Mus musculus: one gene and its partners. The protein of the gene in region 4 interacts with the protein of the main gene of each other region in a pairwise test. Links are inferred from orthologs where the notes say so. Each region holds a gene or a part of one and is shown on either strand. Other genes may lie near its edges.

Region 1 (3,500 bases), on a different chromosome or scaffold from region 4:
ATTTTGTTATCTTCCTAATACAATGATGAAATCTGTGGCCCAGTATGATCTTCTCAGGTTGTCATTAAGTTCTGGCTTTATGGGGTTGGAGACTTAGCTTAGCAGTTAAGAGCACCAGCTGCCCTTTCCGAAGACCTGGGTGCAGTTCCCAACACCCACATGGTGGTTCACAACCACCCATAACCCCAGATGCAGGGGATCAAATGCTCAGACCTAGGCATCCACTCGTCTATGCAGCACCTTCACAGCACGAAGGCTCACTGCAGTGCAGCCACTACAACCTGATCTAGCGGAATCTTCCTGCTCTTTAATCACACGGATTAAATCACATGGACAGTAACATGGGAGCCACAGTGAGACAAACAGAACTGATGGACCACTGCAGACTGCCACCATGAAGATCCGCTGCTCGGGTAAGGAAGGACCAAACCACAGCCCGCACGGCTGACAGCACTTGGGAGCACATCTTAGGTTAGCTACAAGTCGTGCTCGCCCCATTTAACAGCCACACACAACCTCACCAGACACATTCCTCACATGCCTAAAGGCTCCCTTGGGTTCCCAGGATAGAAGTCCAACTCCCAGTTCTGCGTGCCACCTGCAGCAACACTGCCTACCGGGAACAATGTGTGTGGCCCACACAGCTGCCACCTTAGAGCCTTGGCACCGGCTACAGCTAAGTAACTAATGGCCACTAAAACAAAGGAGGAAGAGCTCTTTCTGGAAGATGCTCAAGGAGGGCTCCAGGTGACCAGCTTTGTAGCTTCCAAACCAGAGTCCCTGGACAAAGCGTGCACTGAAAGGAAGCCTTGCCGGCCACCTGCCCACTGCTGTCCCAGATCCTGAGCAAACCCAGGACTCAGCTTTCAGGAGCTGTTGCTACTGCCAAGAAAGCTATGAAAAACAGTTTAAGAGGCAATTTTAGGATTGAGAGCATAGCTCAGTGGCAAAGTACCAGTGCCAAGATTGCCCAAGACCCTGAGTGCAAGCTCTACACTAGCATGAAGGGAGGGGACGGGCCAACAGGTAGGGCTCAGAGAATGTCTCTGCGATCTTAAGGACAAGCCTGAGTCTATAAGCTCAAACTAAGACTAAAGAGCACAACATGGGCCCTCCGTCCTTCACCCACCGCCACTCTGCAGCTACACAGTAGCTACTGTTAAGGCAGCAGGACGCTCAGAAGATAAGTAACCAGGCAACTCGAGAAAGGTCCCACACTAAATTTTCCTGTTGAGCCTACAGTGTAAATAGGCAGGCCCTGTGCTCTTGTCACTGCCTAGGGAGCTCCCACAAGGCCAGCCTCACTGACAGGGCCAGGACTGATGAACGGAGCTTCGGGACAGCGCCCTCCTGAGCCTACCTGAGGCACTGTAAGAGGATGAGGATGGCGTCCTCCGAGAGAAGCTCTTGACCGCCAGGCTCTGGCCTCGCTGCTTCCGCCGCCAGGCTGTCCGGCACTTGGAGTCAATGCTCTGCTTGATCCGATACCAGTCAGATTCCGTGATTCCAAATTTATAGAAGAGGTGACCTGAAAGAACACGTCCCAGTTAAGAGCTCTCATACGCAGGCCTTGTCCTGAGCCCCACTGCTGAGAGCACCAAACAGCAGCTAAGCTCTGCTAAGAGACCCAGCTGAGCCGCTGGCCTACTCCTAAAGGTCTGACTCATCTTCTAGAAAATCTCACTTCATCAAGGAAGACGCCCATCACTCAGGTCACTGGGGGCAGCAGGACCAGATGCAGGTATTTACCACTCCTCCCGTCGAGTTAGTTAACCTTTAAAGAACCAGGCTTCACTCCAACACCAACGAGTCTCCATTTCTCCCAGGCTTCAGACTCCCAAGCCTGTAACTTCTCTTGCCCTAAACTCACTCACAAGACGACATATACCATCCTAATTGCCTAGGGAATCAGACTCAAAACTGCACTCATACAGGTCTTGCCAAAGCTGTAGTCCGTTACCCTCTGCTCTTCTGTTTAGCCTAGCCCGCCTCAGTCCAGACCAGCAAACAGTACTGTCCCCTCTCCTCATCCAAAACTCCCTCAGTGCAGCACACTTGCTTTCTAGAACACCTTAAATGTACAGGGATCTCACACAGTGTTTACCCTTCCTCCCTTACAAACGAGGGGCACTCAGTAAATTCTGGCCAGCATTCGGGGAGCAGCAGGCACCTGAAGATGTTTGCCCAGTGCTCCCAGCCAGTTGCTTACTCCTTCGTTCTTACCAGGCTGTCTCCTAACACACCCAAGCTCTTAGCACAGGAACCACTTCCCAGAGTTGCCTGGAACCCCAGGGAAGGGTAGTAGCCACATCCAGCCCTGGAGGGTAGAGCAGGAACACACAGCACACAGCAGAGCACCACTGGACCCCAACTGCCGATCCTTAGGAGCACAGAACAGGCCGGGAGCACAGAAGAGCACGCAGAGCCTGGCCATCTCACGACCTCACGCCATGGCCCTCCCTCTTTTTAGAACTTACTTTTTGTATCACCAATCCTTAAATTTGCCAATTAAAATTTATATTTATTAAATTGTGTGTATGTGTGTGTTTGTGTACCCGCAGAGGTCACAGTTACTGGATCACCTAGAGCTAGAGCTACAGACAGCTGTGTGCCACTGCTGTGGGAGTTGGGACTCGAACTCAGGACTGCTAGGAGGAGTAAGTGTTCTTAACCACTAGACCCTGTCTCCAGCCCATGGTCCTCTGTCTGCCACGGCCCAATGACAGCAGGAAGGATGGTAGTGAAGGACGTCACAAGACTTTCTCTTCAACACAGTGACCTCTGTAGCTGGCTTATGCAACTTCACTAAATAACAGGAAAATAAATGAAGAAACTCAAACTCCAATAATCAAAAGTCTAAGTTGGCAAATGTCCTCTTCTGGCTGTTAAAGCCACCGAGTTTAGATCGTCTCCTGAGGGGGAAGTTCTCCCCCAAACTCTACAGCTGCTCTCATCAAGAGCAGCCATGAGAAGGAGTGGAACCCTTTCACTGCCATATTACCTACTGGGCATTAGGAGATGTCTCTGAGTGTTCTGTTTGCATATACTCAGCAATGGCACAGTGACAGCAGGCCTGTGACCTGGAAGTACTTTTCCCTTTCCCTCAGGAGTGAGTTGGCAGCTCTGGTTCTGACTTCCAGGTCATCTCAAATAGACAGAGTCATAAACCACTGAGAAACCACACGCGAGACAAGTGGCTTTAGATATGGACAAAAGCCTCTGTAGGTCCCAGGCCAGTCACCTGGCTTCCAGTCGCAGTCACCACAGAACCCCCTGCTGGCCAACTACCTCATCTGATACACATTTGAAAGCCTCACTGAGTAAGAACACCATCGCTCTTGTGCCTGTTTGTAGGCAAAACCAAGGAATAGGAGAAGCCATCTCACAGTGTCACTTCTGGCTATGTGTCCACCTTCGTCACAGCGGAGGACAAACAAGACGAGGCCTGATGTCATACCTTCCTCTGCTCAGCAGGCCATGCAGTAGGACCAAAGCTCAAA
Region 2 (2,488 bases), on a different chromosome or scaffold from region 4:
AGGCCTGTGTGGCCTCCTGAGCCTCCCTTTCTTGGCCTTCCAGGGAAAGAGGAGGAGCCTGTCCGTCCTGGAGGGCCTGGGCTTCCGCGTGGGCCAGGCTCTGGGTGAGAGGTGAGAGCCAGCCCCACCTGCCTTCCTCTGCTGCTTGGGAGAGTGGGCAGACCTGACGTTGGGGTTCCTGCTGACAAGACCAAGGGTGGGGAAGATTTCACGGGCCCACGCATGTACCGTGTGGGCCAGGCTTTGTTCCGCATCCTCATGCAGGCTGCCCCTGGAGACACCGGCCTTTAGGGAGGAGTTAGATGCCCTCAAGTTCCTGTGCAGAGATCTGTGGGCCGCCATGTTCCAGAAGCACATGGACGGACTCCGCACCAACCACCAGGTGGGTGTGCGAGCCCAGCTCCGGCACCTGGCTTCCAGCTTAGGGGCACTGGAACCTCCACAAGGGCCCACTGGGGACGTAGGAGGCAAGAACCCTAGACTGACATTAGCACCTACCCTTCTCCTTGGAGCCCCTAAGGGAGGACAGGACTGCAGTGGGTGGCAGGGCTGTTTCTTCAACTTCAGCCTGCCCCTCAGGAGTGACCCCTGCACAGTCAGCTAGTGGGCTCGACCAGGCAAGTCCCAGTAGTCCCCACTGAATACCCACACTGTGCTCATTCCCGCCACCACATCAAGAGCCAGAGATTGGGCCTCTCCCAGCACCTTACCAGGCAGGGACGGCTTCCTAATGCCACATGGCCCACATGCCAATGACAGGGTGTTCCACATGCGCCCAAAGGATTGAATGCTGGGTTTGTGGGTATACTGGGGTCCTTCCCTGCCCTCTGGCTCTTTTTTTGTTGCCAGGGGACCTATGTGCTGCAGGACAACAGCTTCCCCCTCCTTGTCACCATGGGCTCGGGGCCACAGTATCTAGAGGAAGCCCCCAAGGTATTGGGTGAGGGACGGGACATGCCCATCTACCCACCCCTGCTAGGCCGCTCGTGGGGCTGGGGCCTGGCTTCCCTCTTCTCACAGTGTTCTGTCCCCCACCCCCACCCCAGTTCCTGGCCTTCACCTGCGGCCTTCTGTGCGGCGCCCTCCATACACTGGGCTTCCAGAGCCTGGTCACCGCCTCCGTGGCATCCCTGCCCGCCTGTAAGTTACTGGGGGGGGGGGTTGTTTCCCTTAAATGTGGTGTAGGCTTTGGGGCTTCCGCATCCTTGGCCCCTCATCAGTGCTGGGAAGGGGAGCAAGATTACCAAGCTGTATGTGACATGAAATTTGAGGCCCAGAGACAGGTAACATGAATGGAATCATATGCCCAGCCTGCATCCCTGAGGTACCTCTAAGAGAAGAAGTGGGCATAAGACCCAGTGGGACATCTCATACCCTGGCCAGGTTCCTGATGGCTTGGAACGGTGGACTTGGCACCCGTCTGCTATTATCTTGACCCCATAGGGCACTGCTGGGCTTAGATGATGACTCCTGCCACTGTGAGGAGCTGGACTCAATGGGCAAGACATGTCAGGAGCTTGGGCTAGCCCTCCTGCCTCTGGGCTCCCCTGTGGTCTGGAATGTGGGCCACTTGGGTGGGGCGGTACCCCTGCGACCCACTCCCAGCCGGGGCCACTTGGGCTGTTGGTGCAGAGTGGGGTGCAGAGAGAGCCCTCTCACGGGTTTCTGTCTTGGCTCTTCTGTTCCAGGTAAGTTCCAGGTGGTGATCCAGAAGTCCTGAGGACCCCAGACCCCAGGCTTGCCCTTCCCTAAGCTTAGCCTCGGAATGTGGCACCTGACCCTGCCTCACTGCTCACCTTTGCAGGTCGCCTTGAAGCTGGAGCTCACAGGCTCTGGGGAGGTCACATGTGCTTCAGACAAGGGAATGAAAGGGCCGGGAGGGTCCCGGGAGGTGGGACCATCCCCTGAGTTCCAAGTCAGCATGGAGGGACATTAGGGCATCACCCAGATGACAGATGTTCAGTAAAGGTTCTTTATGTGCAAACAGACCTGTGCAGTGCTTATCACACGTTACTCCGTACCCACACCCACCCTGTGAGCTCTGGGCACACCTGGCCCAGCTCATGAGCTCTGCCAGCCAACAAGTCTGGGGCTGCCCCCAGCCCAGCAGGTGACACCCTGCCACCTTGTTCTGATTGTATTTGTAGCATCTGGGCTGCCCTTGGGCTTAAGCCTGGATTCTGCTGCCCATTGCTGCATGGGTAAGCACCCAGGCCCAGGGAATTCAGACCGAGGTGGCTGAGAAGTAACAAGGGCTGCTGGCTCGTGTGTGTGTGTGTGTGTGTGTGTGTGTGTGTGTGTGTGTGTGTGTGTGTGCGCGCGCTAAAGTGCTGAATCTAGTCCTCTGAAAGAGCAGTTAGCCCTGTTAACTACTAAGCCATCGCTCCAATTCGACACCCCGAAGACAAGGCCTCTCAGGGTGGGGCAGATGTATCAGAAGTTAAGAGTGTTTCTTGCTCTTGCTGAGGACCCAGGTTTGAATCCCATC
Region 3 (2,575 bases), on a different chromosome or scaffold from region 4:
CAGTACAGCAAAGAACATCAAGGTAGGAGAGCTGCCTCTGAAATGTGAGGCTGACTAGAAAGCCCAGGAAATCATTTTGTTCAGCCCTAGAAAATTACATTAGGACAAAAAGGACATTAATGAGGCCTATAGGCCAGACACGTGACATCAGAATATAGCACCCAGCCGGGCGTAGTGGCGCACACCTTTAATCCCAGCACTCGGGAGGCAGAGGCAGACGGATTTCTGAGTTCGAGGCCAGCCTGGTCTACAAAGTGAGTTCCAGGACAGCCAAGGCTACACAGAGAAACCCTGTCTCGAAAAACCAGAAAAAAACAAAAAACAAAAAAAGAATATAGCACCCAAAACAGTTTACCTGCCAACTTCAACTCAGTTGTTGAAGATAGTCAGATTTGGGGTCCCATCCTCAAATCTGTTTTGACTTGTGAGCTCAATACAGTCTAGGCTGTGAAGATAGTATCCCTGACACATAGGAACTGGAAAAAAAAAAGCATACCCCACTATGCACATTCACAAATTTCCCAAGGCCACTGGGTGACATTTATTGTAAAAGCACATGGGGCAAGGTTGGGACCAGGTGGGGCAGGTTCTAGGAGGCAGAGTCAGAGGCCTCTGAGCTGTCTTTGACATCTGTGCTCTCTGTGGTCTCGCTGACCTCACTGAGGTCCTTGCTGTCCCCACCACTATCCTCAGCAGCCAGGCCCTTCTCCTCACGACAGGCCTCTCCTGAGCTCAGAAGCACGTTGCCTTTGTTCTCCGCTTTGTTCTCCAAGGCCGCCAGAACCATGTGCTTGCCCTTTTCCTTCAGCTCCAGGTGCCGCCTCAGCTGCCGCCAGGAGCCCAGAGGGAAGCGGGTGGAAAGAGACAGGGCCTAAGTCTCCAGACAGGAGACAAGAGGAGCCAGGCCCTGAGGCTGGCTGGGGGAAGGGACACAGTGAGAAGTGGTAGGGCCAAGGCAAGAAATAGGACTGGGTAGAAATGTAGTTCAATCCTAGCTCTGCCCTAAGCCTGCTTTCCTCATCTGTAAAATGACAAAGGTCCTATTGCCCTCAAATGTGCTGTTGGGGAGCCTCCAAGACAGAGCAGTACCTCCCCAGGAGGCTTGGTCAGAGACCCTTTCCCCCTAGCCCAGTTTAGTCCTAAATCTGAGCAGGCTGCCCCTGACCCTAGTAGTCCCTCTCCCTAGAAAAATATCTTCCTACTCTCTCTCCTGTTCCACCCACCTCCAGGCTTCTTCCCTAGAAAGCATCCCATAGCCCCCTCTAGAGTCAACAGAGGCCATGTCACAACTTGACAGCTTAGGAAGTGAGGGAAAGAGGGGCTCTACAACGACAAGGGCTGACACTCAATCTTGGTCTTGCCTCTAGCCACCACTGCCTCACTCAGTCTCACAGCTCTAAAGTAGCCACCTTTCCCAAGTACAGAATCTCCCCTGCTGCTGGAATTGCTGCCCTGGACTGGCTGAACTCTTACCTCATCAGCCATCTGCGTGAGGTCCCGCTTCATTGCATACGCATCTTCCCCATCTGCATAGTATTTGGGCTCCACTTCGCTGATCCTGGGGGTAGGATCAAGACACATGCCTAGGGGCAAATTCTCCTGGTTCTTAGGCTACTGGGGTAAATGTCATCTCCCCCATAGAACCTTTGTAGAGGCAAAAAGCCAGTGTGAATGGGCTTCTCCTTTTTGTTTTTCATTTGAATGAACTCTTGTCCAACTGCTGTGATAGTTATCTCTGCTTTTCCAGTGAAGCCGAGCAGCATGTAGCATCCAGGGTACTTCCCATTCCTAGACTTGCTACCACTTTGTCCCTAGCCTGACCAGCAAGGACTTGTGTTTTCAGTTGAAGCCCCTAGTTCTGCTTCTTCCTCTCCCTGACCTGCTTCTTATCATTTACTGAGCACATAGCCAGTTCCTCTGCTAGGAAAAAGGGACACTGTACCTGCATGTAGATAGTCAGCATAGACAACCTGGTTACTGACCAGATGGCTGAGGGAGGGGAGGGAGGTGTGTGTGCACACTTGAGTAGCCCTGACACTGGAAGGGAAGCCCTTTGATGACCTAGGAAGGTTCCTTGCCAGTCTTCAGAGGTACATGTTGGGTATCTTCCTCAGTTGCTTTCCACCTTATTTTTATTTTTTCAAAATAGGGTCTCTCACTGAATCTGGAACTTGTCCATTCAACTAGGCTGGTTGATTAGTGAACCCCAGGGACTCTCTTGTCTTAACCTCTTCAGCACTAGGATAACAGGTGCGGGGCACTGTATATGGCTTTTATGCATGGGTGCTAGGGATCAAACACACGTCCTCACAATTAAGCTTAATTGAGACAGGGTCTTGCTATGTGGTTGAGACTAACCTGGAACTCACTATGCTGGAACTCCAAGCCATAGTCGTCTACTTTGAGTGCAGAGATTAAGAGGCGTGTGTTACCATACCCAGCTGGAAACTGCTGACTTAGCAGCTAAAGCAGTTCCTGTTGCAGAGGCGTCTTAACTACGTCAAAGAGCCCTCCATGAATCTGGATGTAGAACCCAGAAAAGCTGAAGACTACTACCCTGTCCCAATGGTGTCAT
Region 4 (3,500 bases):
GGGAGAGGAGGGAGGGGAAGAGGGGGAGAGGGGGAGAGAGGGAGGGAGAGAGAGAGCCTGAGTTCACGCCCCGGAACCCACACAGTGGGAGAGAAGCCAGCTCCACAAGTCCTACTGTGACTTCCACGTGCATGCTGTGACTCCGCCACAGTAGTAGAAAATAAAATGTAAAGGAAAGAAAGACAGGAAGGGAGGAAAGGAGAAAAAGACAAAACTCTTCCTTCCATTTTACCACAAGTGCCTTCCCTCCTGACCTTGCGCACATAAGCACTGTGTGTAAATTGCTCTCTAAATCTAACCTACCTGATTCACACTGCTGTCTGCCATCATGTAGAGAATGCTTTCCTATGTATAGTATATGTGACACAGTGTAAGCAGACAAGCTGCCACATGCCATACTTGTTCAGGTTCCAAACACTGCGTTCCCCACACCTGACTTTCCATTTGAGGGGCTGCAGGGCTAACAGGAAAACACTTTGGTGTTTGTACGATTTAATACTATAAGCTCCCCTCAAGTCCAGGCTGCTGCGCTACAGGGTATGGTCACAGTAGTTTAACACCAACCACAGCTCTGGCTGGGTATGCAGCTCAGGGAACAAACACAACCGGCTACACCACCCAAGCAGTCCCATAACCACTAGCACTCTACAGCCGCCCTGGGAATGTGTGTGCACCCACAGAAACAGGCGGTACAGCTTCTCTAACAGGTCCTGCGTGCACAGCATCACAACAGCCCTTAGCCCGGTCCTCAAATGCTTTCCCTGATAAAATAAAACAGACGCTAAAGCCTATTCCTTACAGTAATGGACGAAAAAGGCTGCCCCACCCTGAGAACAGAGCAGTCCTCCCTTTGACAACTTGTACTTTCCAAATGCCTGTCACATGTGGGAGACAGCTGTTTGCCAATTTCAGCATCTTTTATAGAAATCATATGGAAGGTGAGGACTAATTTTTTTTATTTTTAATTATGTATATGTATCCAGGTCTGGGGGCAGGGGACATGTTCCCATGAAACTCATTCAGGCCAGAGGTATCCGACCTGAGTTACAGGTGGGTGCTGGGTGGGCTGATGTGGGAGCTAGGAGCTGAACTTGGGCTCTCTCAAGAGCATCAAGTGCTGCTAACCACTGAGCCATCTCTCCAGCTCCTGTATCCTGTTTTCCTACTTGGTAAGGCCAGTTACCAAGCCATTACCTTCTCTTTTCTCTCTCCCAGTCTGGCCTACAATTCACACGTCTGACTTCACAGCCCACTAATAGGTCAACACTGTCTCTAACCTTTAGTCGGCCTGCAGCCCCAGCATGTATGTATTACGTAATTAAGAGATCTTCAGGGCGCTCCTGAGCAGCCACATCCACCTCTTGCCTTGGGTCTGTACCGCTGACCTTTCCTTGGCTGTTCCTCTCTCCGCAGCCACACTGAAGTCTAAGAATGTTCTAGAATTCTCTAAATAAACCACACACCTTTCTTTACCTAATAGACCTCAGCTTTGTCTGGGGGGAGGGATAAGTTTAACTTTGAAATACAAAGTTAAAGACAAACACCGCATGTCATTCAAACCACAGACAAGAACAAACACAAGAGCACAGCACAGAGACTCTGAAGAGCGCGCTCTTCCCACAGGGCGTGGTGAAAACACCTACTTTGGCCCTCCGCACTCGACAGCGGAAGCCTTCACGAAGCGGATGGGCTGCAACCCCACTGGTTCGATGCTTAGAGTGTTGTTCTCCACAGCCTCCAGAACAGCTGAAGCCAACTTAAAACAAAACAGAGTTAAATGTCAGCAGAAAAATACCAAAATAAAATACGACATTAATTTTACAAGCTGGTCCTCCCTCTGCTTCACTAACTTGGCCGTAGCCACTGCAAAGAGAAGGAAGAAAAGCATAAAGCACAACCGCGATTTAACCTTTAAAACGCAAGCCGCTACGACAGGCAGCTCAGTTACAGTAGCAAGGAGGTTCTGCACTAACTGGCTGAGGGTAAGGTTGTTTATTATTATTATTATTATTTTATTGCTATTGTTCCAGGCTCTGTCCACACATGGCTACACGTGTACTATATACAAGCCACTTCAAAATTAATATCCTAATGCTTTACCCTCTAAATTTATACAATAAATACTGGTCATTTATGACAGCAATATATAGTAATTTTAGCTACATATTTTCTCAACTTCTGTCTTATAGGCACAACAATCTCCCAGATGAGATGAGATATGGAGTGCCCTCCACGGGCAGCCAGTAAGAAGGTCAGAGTTGAGTCTGCTGCGGCTACGAGCGCTAGGGAACAGGCTGCAATGCACAGCCCACGCTCGGGTCGGTGCCAAGCTGCTCGTGCACAGTTCTCCTTACAAGGACGATACAGCTCAACCCTCTCCAGAGTCATGGAAGATTCTGAGGACTGAATTCCTTAAACATTAGCTGGCAGGCTATTTGGAGACAAACTTCTCACATATAAGATCAAACTAAAATATGGCTGTCCTGGCTGGTTGTGTGTCAACTTGACACAAGCTGGAGTTATCACAGAGAAAGGAGCTTCCATAAGATCCAGCTGTAAGGCATTTTCTCCATTAGTGATCGAGGACGGGAGGGCCCATTGCGGGTGGTGCCATCCCTGGGCCTGGTAGTCCTGGGTTCTATAAGAAAGCAAGCTGAGCAAGCCAGGGGAAGCAAACCAATAAGAAACATCCCTCCATGGCCTCTGCATCAGCTCCTGCTCCCTGACCTGCTTGAGTTCCAGTCCTGACTTCCTTTGGTGATGAACAGCAATGTGGAAGTGTAAGCTGAATAAATCCTTTCCTCCCCAACTTGCTTCTTGGTCAAGATGTTTGTGCAGGAACAGAAACCCTCACTGAGACACTGATCTTACGTTGGATGCGACTTATCCACCTGACCCTTTTCAATGTGCTTCAACCTGCTTGCTTCATCCTCTACCAACCCTAACCCAGGCACGTTGGCATTGTCTTTCTGTTTGGTTTAAGGACACGTTTGGTGTTCTGGTTTAGGGTCTATGTTAGCAGTGATCTAACAGGGCCTTGTACGGTCAGTGGAGCACTTCCTTGTACGGTCAGTGGAGCACTCTGCTCTGAGCTACACTCTGGCAAGCACCTTTAACAGGGTGTGTATAGAACTTGGCTTAAACTGAAAACTGAATCTGGGTCTGCGAATCAGGCAGCAACCCTCCTCCCACACCTATCTACACGGCTCACTAATACAATGAGGAAAGATGTTCAGAATAGCCGTGATCGTGGTCCTAATGGAAAATGGAAAAATGTTTAAGATGACATTTTACAGTAGTAAAATTACATGTAGGACATTAAAATATGAAGCCTGACAGTAGGAAGTACAACAGACTCTACTGCATTTCTATTAAAATGAAAACCATTACCTCACTCTTTGCAAATGTTAAACATGGAAAGATGTCCTCCTGGTAGATTTTGTCCAGGAAAGGACACGTTCTGTCCATCGTGGGCTCATCCTTCCAAGATCTGAACTCAT
Region 5 (3,500 bases), on a different chromosome or scaffold from region 4:
GCACTGGTGGGAAATGCAGGGCTCTGGTGCTCTAGGGGAGCGACACCTGCAATCACAGCATCAAGGATGTGGACACTGGAAGCTTCCTGAGCCTTGCTGGCCAGCTAGTCTAGCCTACTTGGTAAACTCCGGGCCAATAGGAAACCTTGTCTTAAAAGGGGTAAATGCGTTCCTCCGGATGACTCTTTGGTTGTCATTGTCCTGCACATGCAAGCATGTCCATGTTCCTGCACTTAAGCAAATCCACATACAGAAACACAGACATGCCACTGAAAATAACTTTGAAGCTCGGTGGTTGTGGTGTATGCCTTTAATCCCAGCAGAGTGAGTTCCAGGACTGCCAGGACTACACAGAGAACCCTGTCTTGAAAAAAATGAAACAAAACAACACCTCCCCAAAAAACCCCATCCCACCCCACTCCCAAAAAACTCTGGGGGCTGGAGAGGTGGCTCAGCAGTTAAGACCACTTGTTGCTCTTAAAGGGCACCCAGGTTTAATGCCTAGCACCCAACATGGTAGCTCACAACCATCTGAAACTCCAGTTCTAAGGGATGCATTGTCTTTTTCTGATCTTGGGCACCAGGCACATGTGTGGTGCACATACATACATGCAGGCAAAACACTCATTAAACAGCAAACAAAAGCCTTTGATAAGTGCTCAGCAAACATCTTTTGAATTGGTATGGAAGTTAGCCCAAGCTAGTGAAGAAGGCTGGTTTAGCTTAGCATTAGCATTAATCCTTCTCAAAAGTGTCAGCAGAAGACACTCCCGTCATTCTCAGGCTGTGTCTCTAAGGCAGAGGAAACTGCTTTCCATCTTGTAGGACAATTAGAAGTAGTATTTCTAACTAAGATGGATTACCTGTCTCAAGAGATTCAGTGCAAACTCCAAATTCTGTAGCCTCTGTCTGTTGATGGCATTAACCTCTGTGAACTTGGCAGCAAGAGCAGCTTCCTACAGAGAAATTTTAGGACAGCAGTTAGAAGGCTAGGAGAACAACAGAACACTTGGACACAGTCTAGGAAGGGCCTGGCGTGTAGAGAAAGGGCTACCTCTTGCCCAGTGCTACCCGTAGCTCCAGCCTTTGGTGGAAATATAAGACTGAGCTGATGCAGGTTGATTCTTGGTCCATGACCACTGAGCAAGTCTTTCTAAGTATTCTTTTCACAGCTGTTGCAGGCTGTACTGCCCTCTACTACAGACTTGCACAGGGGAGCAAGGTGGGAGCCTCCCATGTATCTGGCATGGGACCAGAACCCCTACAAGCCTGCCTCTTAGGCATATTGATATCTCACTGCTCCAAAACAAGTTCTTTCTCTTGCAAGTGCTTCACCGAGGACCACATCTGGAGAGCCCCTGGCAGTCTTCACTTACAGCTCACCTCTTCCTTCACTTTGGCAGCAGGAGACTGCAGCCTGGCTCTCTTGTTCACATGGCTGTTCCGTCCATTCTCCAGGTCCAGCAAGGACCTTAGCTTCTCTGCTTCAAGTTCATAGTCCTGGGTAAAAGAAAGGAAGTACAGTAGTCAGCTAGGGGCAATAACAACAACAACAACAACAACAACAACAACAACAAAAAGTGACAGTGATTTATGCTCCCTCTAAGGACTCCAAGCTGCCAGAGCTGGTTTAGCAATCTTGTATAACTTCCTCACATCTGTACCTGAGCTGGCTAAGACAGTGATGCTAAGTTGCTACCTCACTGAGTGACATCCATACAAGAAAATGTGCCTGCAATTCCTAACTCGTGTAGAGACACAAACCAAGTTGACTCTTTGGGCCTTCCAAAAGGCCAAATGCTGTTTCCTTGGGGAACACTGCATCCTAAGCCTTTCTCCCTTTCTCCACCAGAGACCTTGGCATTTTCCATCAAAGTAGATGCTGGGTCATTTACACAGACATTCCTGCATAAGGCTTTGTTGGCTAGTTTTCCCGTTATAACTAGAGCTGTTATATAATTTTGCTTGGTGTACATCATTTTTCATTTTGTTTTGTTTTCCTTTAGGGTAACCCCCCCACACACACACAAAGAGTTGACTGTTCTAAGAATATAATTCCTGGGTGATATCAGGTATCTGGTGCTGTATTGTTTTGTCAAAGGGGTGGGGCCTACATAAGGCGACTGCCCATTTCCCCAGCAACCTACCTAGATTGCTCTGTAACATTTAATGCAAAAGGCCCTACTGTGTGCTCTGACAGGGTTCATGGCTCACCTTCACCGCTTGCTGGTACTGCTGGGAATCTGCATAGACCTTCTGCACCTCCTGTTCCCTGCTTGCTAGCTCATCAAGCAAGTTCTGTAAAACAGGAGATACTGGAAACCAAAGCTGAACCACACACACAGGCTCCTCAGAGGCTGAGTCCTTAGGACCTAAAGTCAACATGCTATAGCTGGAAGCATAGTGGGTGGCTTTCCTGTGTACATTTGTTCACCACAAAGGGCAGTGCCAAGGCCTGGAGCAAGGGCCGTGAAGATGGTTATTCGTGCCAGGAAACAGGTGTTTATTGTGAGCTCTGAAATGCCAGGCTCTGCTCTGGTAGAGCATGTAATCCTACAGCAAGCGTGTGAGCCAAGCCCGAGGAACTTGTTTGACTTGAGAAAACAAGTCCAGGGAGGGACAGCAAGTTGACTATCAGGAGCTGGCTTTCCCTGTGTTTCCCTCTGTCTGTCTGTCTGCCCGTCTCTGTGCACATACAAAGGCTAACAGTCTACATCATATATCTTTCTGCTACTGTTTTCCACTTAGTTTTTGAGACAGGATCTCTCACTGAACCCAGAAATCGATCAATTTGGCAATGCTTGCTAGCCAATGAATTTCATGGACCCTTTTGTCTTCCGTTCTTGCCCAATGCTAGAATTATGGACTTGCATAGCCATGCTTGACTTATTAGGGGGGTTCTAGTGATTACATTCAGGTCTTCATGTTTGCATAGCAAGCACTTTTCTGACAAATTCGCTTCCTTAGCCTCAGCCACTGGATTTCTGAGGTCCTTGTGGCATTGAGGAAGTGGGAACCCCAACTTTGATAATGGGATCTTTCCCACAGAGTTCCCAGTGTTTCGGTCATGAGCTAAGCCATATGAATATCTGTTGAGTCAGGGCCTGTGAAGGGCATTGTGGGGAAAGGGGTGAGCAAGACGTGGAGTGCTTGTGAGAGGATGCTGAAAGCGGTGGCCCCTTCCTTTGTCTTGCCCCATTGGCCTTGAGAACTTCTTCTTCTTCTTTTTCTAAAAATGAATGTGAGTACACCGTAGCTGTCTTCAGACACACCAGAGACGACATTGGATCTCATTACAGATGGTTGTGAGCCACCATGTCTGGAAGAGCAGTCAGTGCTCTTAACCACTGAGCCATCCCTCCAGCCAGGCCTTGAAGACTTCTGATGCTCCCAGACATACATTACAAAGTAGAAGCAGCCATCTTACCTTCTGGTTCTTGAGCTTGGTCTCCATCTGGCCGAGGCTGTCTGTCTCCTGGGGCTCATAACTGGGAGTCTTG
Region 6 (3,500 bases), on a different chromosome or scaffold from region 4:
AGCAGAGGGCCAGCTGGGCGGCCTGGGGCTGAGCTCCTGTGCACCTGGACCTGGCCGAGTGGGCAGTGGGTGACTGCTGTGGGCAGAGAGAGGTCTGGGCTTGTGTGAGCCTTGTCCTGTGGTGTCCCCCAGCCTCCCCCCCGGGTGCTTCTGGCCGTGTTTGTGGAGCAGCCTACTCCCTTCCTGCCTCGGTTCCTGCAGCGCCTACTGCTCCTGGATTACCCCCCGGACAGGATCTCTCTCTTCCTTCACAACAGCGTGAGATATGGAGAGCATACCCCTTATCCCCCATCCCACCGCACCGACACCTCCTTCCGTCTGTCCTCCCTGACTGCATCCCCCATGTACCCACCTCTCTGCCCAGACCGTCAGTGTATCCCTCTCTCCGCCCATCTTCAGGAGGTGTACCACGAGCCTCATATTGCAGATGCCTGGCCACAGCTCCAGGACCATTTTTCAGCTGTAAAGCTGGTGGGGCCAGAGGAGGCCCTGAGCGCAGGGGAGGCCAGGGACATGGCCATGTGAGTGAGTCTGCCTGGGCTGTGGTCACACTACGCTCCCCTCCCTCATCCTCTGACACAGACAGTGGAGCCCCTGGGGAAGGAGACACTGACCCTTGACCTCATGTCAGAACCAGGAGAGCCCCGCTCATCCCTCCATCCCCACTGCCCTGCCTCCATGCCCCCATTTGGGCTCACCTCTCTATCTGTGGCTCTTCTCCTCCAGGGACAGCTGTCGGCAGAACCCTGAGTGTGAGTTCTACTTTAGCCTGGATGCTGATGCCGTCCTTACGAACCCGGAGACCTTGCGTGTCTTGATTGAACAAAACAGGTGACCAGCACCACCCATGCATGGAGCCCCAGAAGAGCTTCACCCCCTCCCCTGGTGGGACATAGTCCTATCCCATCTCGTCCATCCCTCACCTACGTCTTCTCCATAGGAAGGTAATAGCTCCCATGCTTTCCCGCCATGGCAAGCTCTGGTCCAACTTCTGGGGTGCCCTGAGCCCCAATGAGTACTACGCCCGCTCCGAAGACTACGTGGAACTGGTGCAGCGGAAGCGAGTGTGAGTCCCACCCACGTACCGTGCAGTGCCAGGCAGGCCCTTCCCTCGGTCCCCCTCCGCAGCCTCCTACATACACACTAGGCCCCCGCTATGGAAAGGGTGATATGATGGCCTCAGGCTTGGGATTCTGGGGGACACCGAGGAGGAGCTTCTGCAGTGAGCAAAGCGTAGTCTGTGGGGTTGCCCACCTAGCTGATCATACCCGGTGCCTGCAGGGGCGTGTGGAATGTACCCTACATATCTCAGGCATATGTGATCCGCGGGGAGACCCTGAGGACTGAACTGCCCCAAAAGGAGGTATTCTCCAGCAGCGACACAGACCCAGATATGGCTTTCTGCAAGAGCGTCCGGGACAAGGTGAGTGGGGTGGTTGGCATGGGTTGCCCATGGGGACTCGACGCTGTGCCCACAGCCTCCTGATGTCCTCCTCACGCATGCCCACCCTTTACCCCGCTCCAGGGCATCTTCCTCCACCTCAGCAACCAGCACGAGTTTGGCCGGCTGCTGGCTACTTCTCGCTATGACACAGACCACCTACACCCAGACCTCTGGCAGATCTTTGACAACCCTGTGGTAAGAGGGGACCTTTGCTCCCTGCTTCCAGCCCATAGCCCCCACCACCATTGCTGATCATGGGAGGGCAGGCGTGAAGAAGGCTCCGCTCGAGCGCCCTAACCCTTCCTACAGGACTGGAGAGAACAGTACATTCACGAGAATTACAGCCGGGCCCTGGATGGGGAAGGGCTAGTGGAACAGGTAAGCTGCCCCAGGACCTTGGCCCGTGTGAAGTACCCACTGCTGGCATTGGTGGGTTCTAAGCTGAGCACCCGGGGACTGAGGGTTTCCTATTCGGGCGAGAGGAAGGCTAACGGCCACACTAAGTGTTAAGGGCCTGTAATCTTAGAGGTCTGGAAGGTGGTGCAGAAGGATGGAGAGTTTCAGGCTAACCTGGGCTACATAATAGGTACCAGACCAGCCATGGTCAGATGGCAAGACCAAGTCTCAAAAGAAGAAAAAAGATGGGCTGAGAGAGAACTCAGTGGTCAAGTGCTTAGGACATAAGCATGGCGACCTAGTACAGGTCTCCAGAGCCCACCTGCAGTTCCAGACTGAGGACCCGCAGCAGGTTGATTCGCAAGACTGGCTGCATCCGTAAGCTCTGGGTTCAATTAGGAGATCATGCTCGGTGGATAAGGTGAAAGAACAATGGAGCAGTTCCTGGTGTCAACCTCAGACCTTCGAATGCACAAATGTGCACACGCACACCCCCAACATAGCCGTGCCCACCCGCACATGCACACCCCCACACAGCCGTGCGCACACGCACATAAAAACAAACAGAGGTGTGGTACATGCCAATAATGCCAGAGCCCAGGTCGAGGAAGATAACAGGGATTTGGAGTTGCAGGGCAGCATCAGACACGTAGCCAGTTCAAGGCCAGCCTGGGGACTGGAGAGATGGCTCAGCAGTTAAGAGCACCGACTGCTCTTGCGAAGGTCCTGAGTTCAAATCCCAGCAACCAGATGGTGGCTCACAACCATCTGTAATGAGATCTGACTCCCTCTTCTGGAGTGTCTGAAGATAGCTACAGTGTATTCACATACATAAAATAAATAACTCTTAAAAAAAAAAAAAGGCCATCCTGGATTACATAGTAAGACCTTGTCTAAAAATAAGTAAGTAGATGGGCTGGAGCTGGGGCTCGTGCAGTAGAGAGCTCCCCCAGTATTCACAGAGCCCTAGGTTCAGTTCCCAGCACAGTATAACCCGAGCATGAAGTTGCACGCCTGTGATCTCGGCATTCAGGAAGTGCAAGTAGGACGATCAGTGCCAGCCTCAGCTACCTAGTGAGTTTGAGGACAGCCTGGGCTACAAAAGACCCTGTCTCAAAAAGGAGGAAAAAAGACAGGACAAGATCATTGTTCTAGATGTTGGGGCTCCAGGCCCCCTATTCCTGCCCTCCTCTGCTAAAACACCCTTCCTCTCTCCACCTAGAGAGCTTGGGTCAGCCCTCCATAGATCCTCTCCTGTGTGTCTCCCCTCCCCTGTCCTTGTTGCCTGTCCCACCTCTCTTCTGTGAGCTTCACCTTGCCTTGTCCCTTGCTGCCCTGCTCTGTCCCTAGCCATGCCCAGATGTGTACTGGTTCCCACTGCTGACCGAGCAGATGTGTGATGAGCTGGTGGAGGAAATGGAACACTATGGCCAGTGGTCTGGAGGCCGGCACGAGGTGAGGACAGAGGGCTCCCAAGGGGACAGGGTGGGCCTGAAGAGGGACAGGGGACTTGGGGGATAGAGGGGATCCCCAAGGGCGGGGCTCATAAAGAGTATGCTAGTTACTTGTGGCCAGGAGAAAGTATATGTCCAAAGCAACTTGAAGAAAGGGTTTCTTGTGGCTCACAGTCTGCGGGCACAAGCCCATCATGGCAGGAAGG
Region 7 (2,170 bases), on a different chromosome or scaffold from region 4:
TAATGGTTTGCTTTTTTTATTATTATTATTTTATTTATTTATTTATTTTTTTTTTTTTTTGTTGTTTTTTTTTTTTTTTTTTTTTTTTTGAGACAGGGTTTCTCTGTGTAGCCCTGGCTATCCTGGAACTCACTCTGTAGACCAGGCTGGCTTTGAACTCAGAAATTTGCCTGCCTCTGCCTCCCAAGTGCTAGGAATCTGCCAGAGATCTGCTTTTTTGCAAGCTCAGTGTTTTGAGTACTTTCAAGGCAGGCTAAGGGAGGCTGTACTGTGGTCATTATTGGCTCATTTCTACTTGACTGCAACGTGGATGTAACCCCACTTTGAGTCAGGCATCTGTGTAAGTAACTCACTTGGACTTTGGTGACAGGCTTTGGGCTTTGGTTCACCTGGGTAGAGCAGCCCGAGTCCAAGCAACACTGAGCTGAAGAGCTCAGACCCAGCAGGCCCTCCTCCCCAGGCCTTGCTGAGCCCTCCACAAGCAAGCTGGAGGCCAGCACTTTGTCTGTACAAGAGTGAAAAATAAAGGATTTTATTGCAGGGCTGACAGTAGGTGTTGGCAGGAGCATGATGGCAAATGCTGGATGCCGAAGCAGACAAGGCACACTGACAGACCCACAAGGTTCAAAGCACAGCAGAAATCAAGGTTTCTGTGGGACGTGGGTAGGAAAGAGAAAGGATTCTCTAGTGCAACTGCTGCACAACAGGTTAACCCTTTGAAAAGTGAAGGTGACAGTAGCAAAGTCATGAAGTTGCACCTGTACCAAAGCCAGGATTTAACTGAGGACACAGAAGTGTCTGTCTAGAGGAGATGACTCCATAGAGACCATGGAAAAGTGCTCAGCTGCCACTTGGCATTCTCTTCCGAGGCTGACAGCCTGGTGAAGGTTTCATTCTTTCCTTTGATTCTCTTGGGTCCCTACAGGTCTCTGGAGATCCCAAGTTTGGCACTGTACCTGAGGCTTTCCTCCACTCTGAGGATGGAGGTCAACAGGTCAAGGTCCCTGCTGGTGGGTGGGGCTGATGGCTTCAGGAGGCAGTGGAGGAGCAGCGCTGCAGTAGCAGGGTATGGCAGCTGTCACACACACGCACTGGCTTAGGGTAGGAGGGCAGGGCCAGCTCGTTGCTAGAGCAGGTGTTGCAGAAAATGTGGCCACAGTTTCGGCAGTGGTGCTAGAAGACAGGACAATGGCAGTTAAGACTACTGGGAGGTGGGACCCCACACCTACCATGCTTCGAAAATCGTGGCTTCTATAAATGGCTATGTCATAGACTCATGTCATAGACAACCTCTTCTGATTAGGTTGTTAGCCTAATTCAGTCAAACAATTGGTCCTGCTGCATACAGAGGGCTGCCAGTGATGTATACAGCAGCTCTACACAGAAGCTCACTGCCCACCCATGCCAGTCATTAGAGAACTCGGGCAAGGGCCTCCAGCAGACTCACGGGCAGAGCTATAGTGAAAAGCCAGGCTTTTCCAGGGAACCCAGGAGCGGCTCCTACATACCTTCCTCCGAGAAATGGAGAAGTCCTTCTCACACTGCTTACAATGTGTTGCCTCGTCATCTTTCAACCATGTGTGGCCCTGAAGAAGAAAGAACACCTAAGAACTCCACCTCATGTCTATGTCTGTCCCTACTTGGCTGCATCTACTCTCTCGTGACTGCCCAATTTTCTTTCCAGGCCTGGCTGCTTTCCAAGACAATAACGTCCACTCATACATGTTGCAGGTGGGATTCACAGATCCATATAACGTGTCTGCTCTCAGCAGCCTGGCCTCCACCAAGGCACGATTCACCCAAAACACTCCCCTGTCCTGTTTGTTTTGAGACAATTTCTCTGTGCAACCCCAGCTGTCCCAAAATTCACTCTACAGACCGGGCTGGCTTTGAACTCAGAGATCCGACTGTCTCTGGCTCCCAAGTGCTGGGATTAAAAGTGTGGGCCACCATCACCTGGCTCCCCTGTTTTTTTTTTTTTTAAAGATTTATTATTATACATAAGTACACTGTAGCTGTCTTAAGACACACCAGAAGAGGGCGTCAGATCTCATCACGGGTGGTTGTGAGCCACCATGTGGTTGCTGGGATTTGAACTCAGGACCTTCAGAAGAGCAGTCAGTGCTCTTACCTGCTGAGCCATCTCGCCAGCCCCTCCCCTGTTTTCTTA

What was found.
Region 1: the proteins of Rab3ip (region 4) and Banp interact in binary tests that used the Homo sapiens proteins (3 or more experiments, as listed by UniProt). The two-hybrid records come from large-scale screens. The link is inferred for Mus musculus from reciprocal best matches to the Homo sapiens genes RAB3IP and BANP.
Region 2: the proteins of Rab3ip (region 4) and Trappc6a interact in binary tests that used the Homo sapiens proteins (3 or more experiments, as listed by UniProt). The two-hybrid records come from large-scale screens. The link is inferred for Mus musculus from reciprocal best matches to the Homo sapiens genes RAB3IP and TRAPPC6A.
Region 3: the proteins of Rab3ip (region 4) and Naa10 interact in binary tests that used the Homo sapiens proteins (3 or more experiments, as listed by UniProt). The two-hybrid records come from large-scale screens. The link is inferred for Mus musculus from reciprocal best matches to the Homo sapiens genes RAB3IP and NAA10.
Region 5: the proteins of Rab3ip (region 4) and Ppl interact in binary tests that used the Homo sapiens proteins (3 or more experiments, as listed by UniProt). The two-hybrid records come from large-scale screens. The link is inferred for Mus musculus from reciprocal best matches to the Homo sapiens genes RAB3IP and PPL.
Region 6: the proteins of Rab3ip (region 4) and Plod3 interact in binary tests that used the Homo sapiens proteins (3 or more experiments, as listed by UniProt). The link is inferred for Mus musculus from reciprocal best matches to the Homo sapiens genes RAB3IP and PLOD3.
Region 7: the proteins of Rab3ip (region 4) and Rufy1 interact in binary tests that used the Homo sapiens proteins (3 or more experiments, as listed by UniProt). The two-hybrid records come from large-scale screens. The link is inferred for Mus musculus from reciprocal best matches to the Homo sapiens genes RAB3IP and RUFY1.

Annotation. Positions count from the first base shown.
Region 1 is NC_000074.6:121,998,992-122,002,491, reverse strand, and holds part of Banp (protein BANP), read right to left. Parts: intron 1,529-3,500; coding exon 1,361-1,528; intron 1-1,360. UniProt on the Homo sapiens protein: Controls V(D)J recombination during T-cell development by repressing T-cell receptor (TCR) beta enhancer function. Binds to scaffold/matrix attachment region beta (S/MARbeta), an ATC-rich DNA sequence located upstream of the TCR beta enhancer.
Region 2 is NC_000073.6:19,514,158-19,516,645, forward strand, and holds the end of Trappc6a (trafficking protein particle complex subunit 6A), read left to right. Parts: intron 1-43; coding exon 44-111; intron 112-264; coding exon 265-382; intron 383-849; coding exon 850-933; intron 934-1,046; coding exon 1,047-1,140; intron 1,141-1,688; coding exon 1,689-1,720; 3' UTR 1,721-1,804; coding exon of another isoform or gene 1,805-1,908; 3' UTR 1,909-1,988; downstream 1,989-2,488. UniProt on the Homo sapiens protein: May play a role in vesicular transport during the biogenesis of melanosomes.
Region 3 is NC_000086.7:73,916,370-73,918,944, forward strand, and holds the end of Naa10 (N-alpha-acetyltransferase 10), read right to left. Parts: intron 1,584-2,575; exon of another isoform or gene 1,559-1,583; coding exon 1,474-1,558; intron 918-1,473; coding exon of another isoform or gene 827-917; coding exon 590-826; 3' UTR 501-589; downstream 1-500. UniProt on the Homo sapiens protein: Catalytic subunit of N-terminal acetyltransferase complexes which display alpha (N-terminal) acetyltransferase activity. Acetylates amino termini that are devoid of initiator methionine.
Region 4 is NC_000076.6:116,912,454-116,915,953, forward strand, and holds part of Rab3ip (rab-3A-interacting protein), read right to left. Parts: coding exon 3,391-3,500; exon of another isoform or gene 2,190-3,390; intron 1,983-2,189; exon of another isoform or gene 1,757-1,982; coding exon 1,644-1,756; intron 1-1,643. UniProt on the Homo sapiens protein: Guanine nucleotide exchange factor (GEF) which may activate RAB8A and RAB8B. Promotes the exchange of GDP to GTP, converting inactive GDP-bound Rab proteins into their active GTP-bound form.
Region 5 is NC_000082.6:5,090,982-5,094,481, forward strand, and holds part of Ppl (periplakin), read right to left. Parts: coding exon 3,428-3,500; intron 2,299-3,427; coding exon 2,215-2,298; intron 1,501-2,214; coding exon 1,384-1,500; intron 957-1,383; coding exon 864-956; intron 366-863; exon of another isoform or gene 1-365. UniProt on the Homo sapiens protein: Component of the cornified envelope of keratinocytes. May link the cornified envelope to desmosomes and intermediate filaments. May act as a localization signal in PKB/AKT-mediated signaling.
Region 6 is NC_000071.6:136,990,019-136,993,518, forward strand, and holds part of Plod3 (multifunctional procollagen lysine hydroxylase and glycosyltransferase LH3 precursor), read left to right. Parts: intron 1-132; coding exon 133-258; intron 259-399; coding exon 400-521; intron 522-726; coding exon 727-831; intron 832-940; coding exon 941-1,066; intron 1,067-1,281; coding exon 1,282-1,423; exon of another isoform or gene 1,424-1,523; intron 1,524-1,525; coding exon 1,526-1,639; intron 1,640-1,753; coding exon 1,754-1,822; intron 1,823-3,190; coding exon 3,191-3,295; intron 3,296-3,500. UniProt on the Homo sapiens protein: Multifunctional enzyme that catalyzes a series of essential post-translational modifications on Lys residues in procollagen. Plays a redundant role in catalyzing the formation of hydroxylysine residues in -Xaa-Lys-Gly- sequences in collagens.
Region 7 is NC_000077.6:50,388,786-50,390,955, forward strand, and holds the end of Rufy1 (RUN and FYVE domain-containing protein 1), read right to left. Parts: intron 1,587-2,170; coding exon 1,509-1,586; intron 1,174-1,508; coding exon 1,030-1,173; 3' UTR 501-1,029; downstream 1-500. UniProt on the Homo sapiens protein: Activating adapter involved in cargo sorting from early/recycling endosomes. Regulates retrieval of proteins from endosomes to the trans-Golgi network through interaction with the dynein-dynactin complex.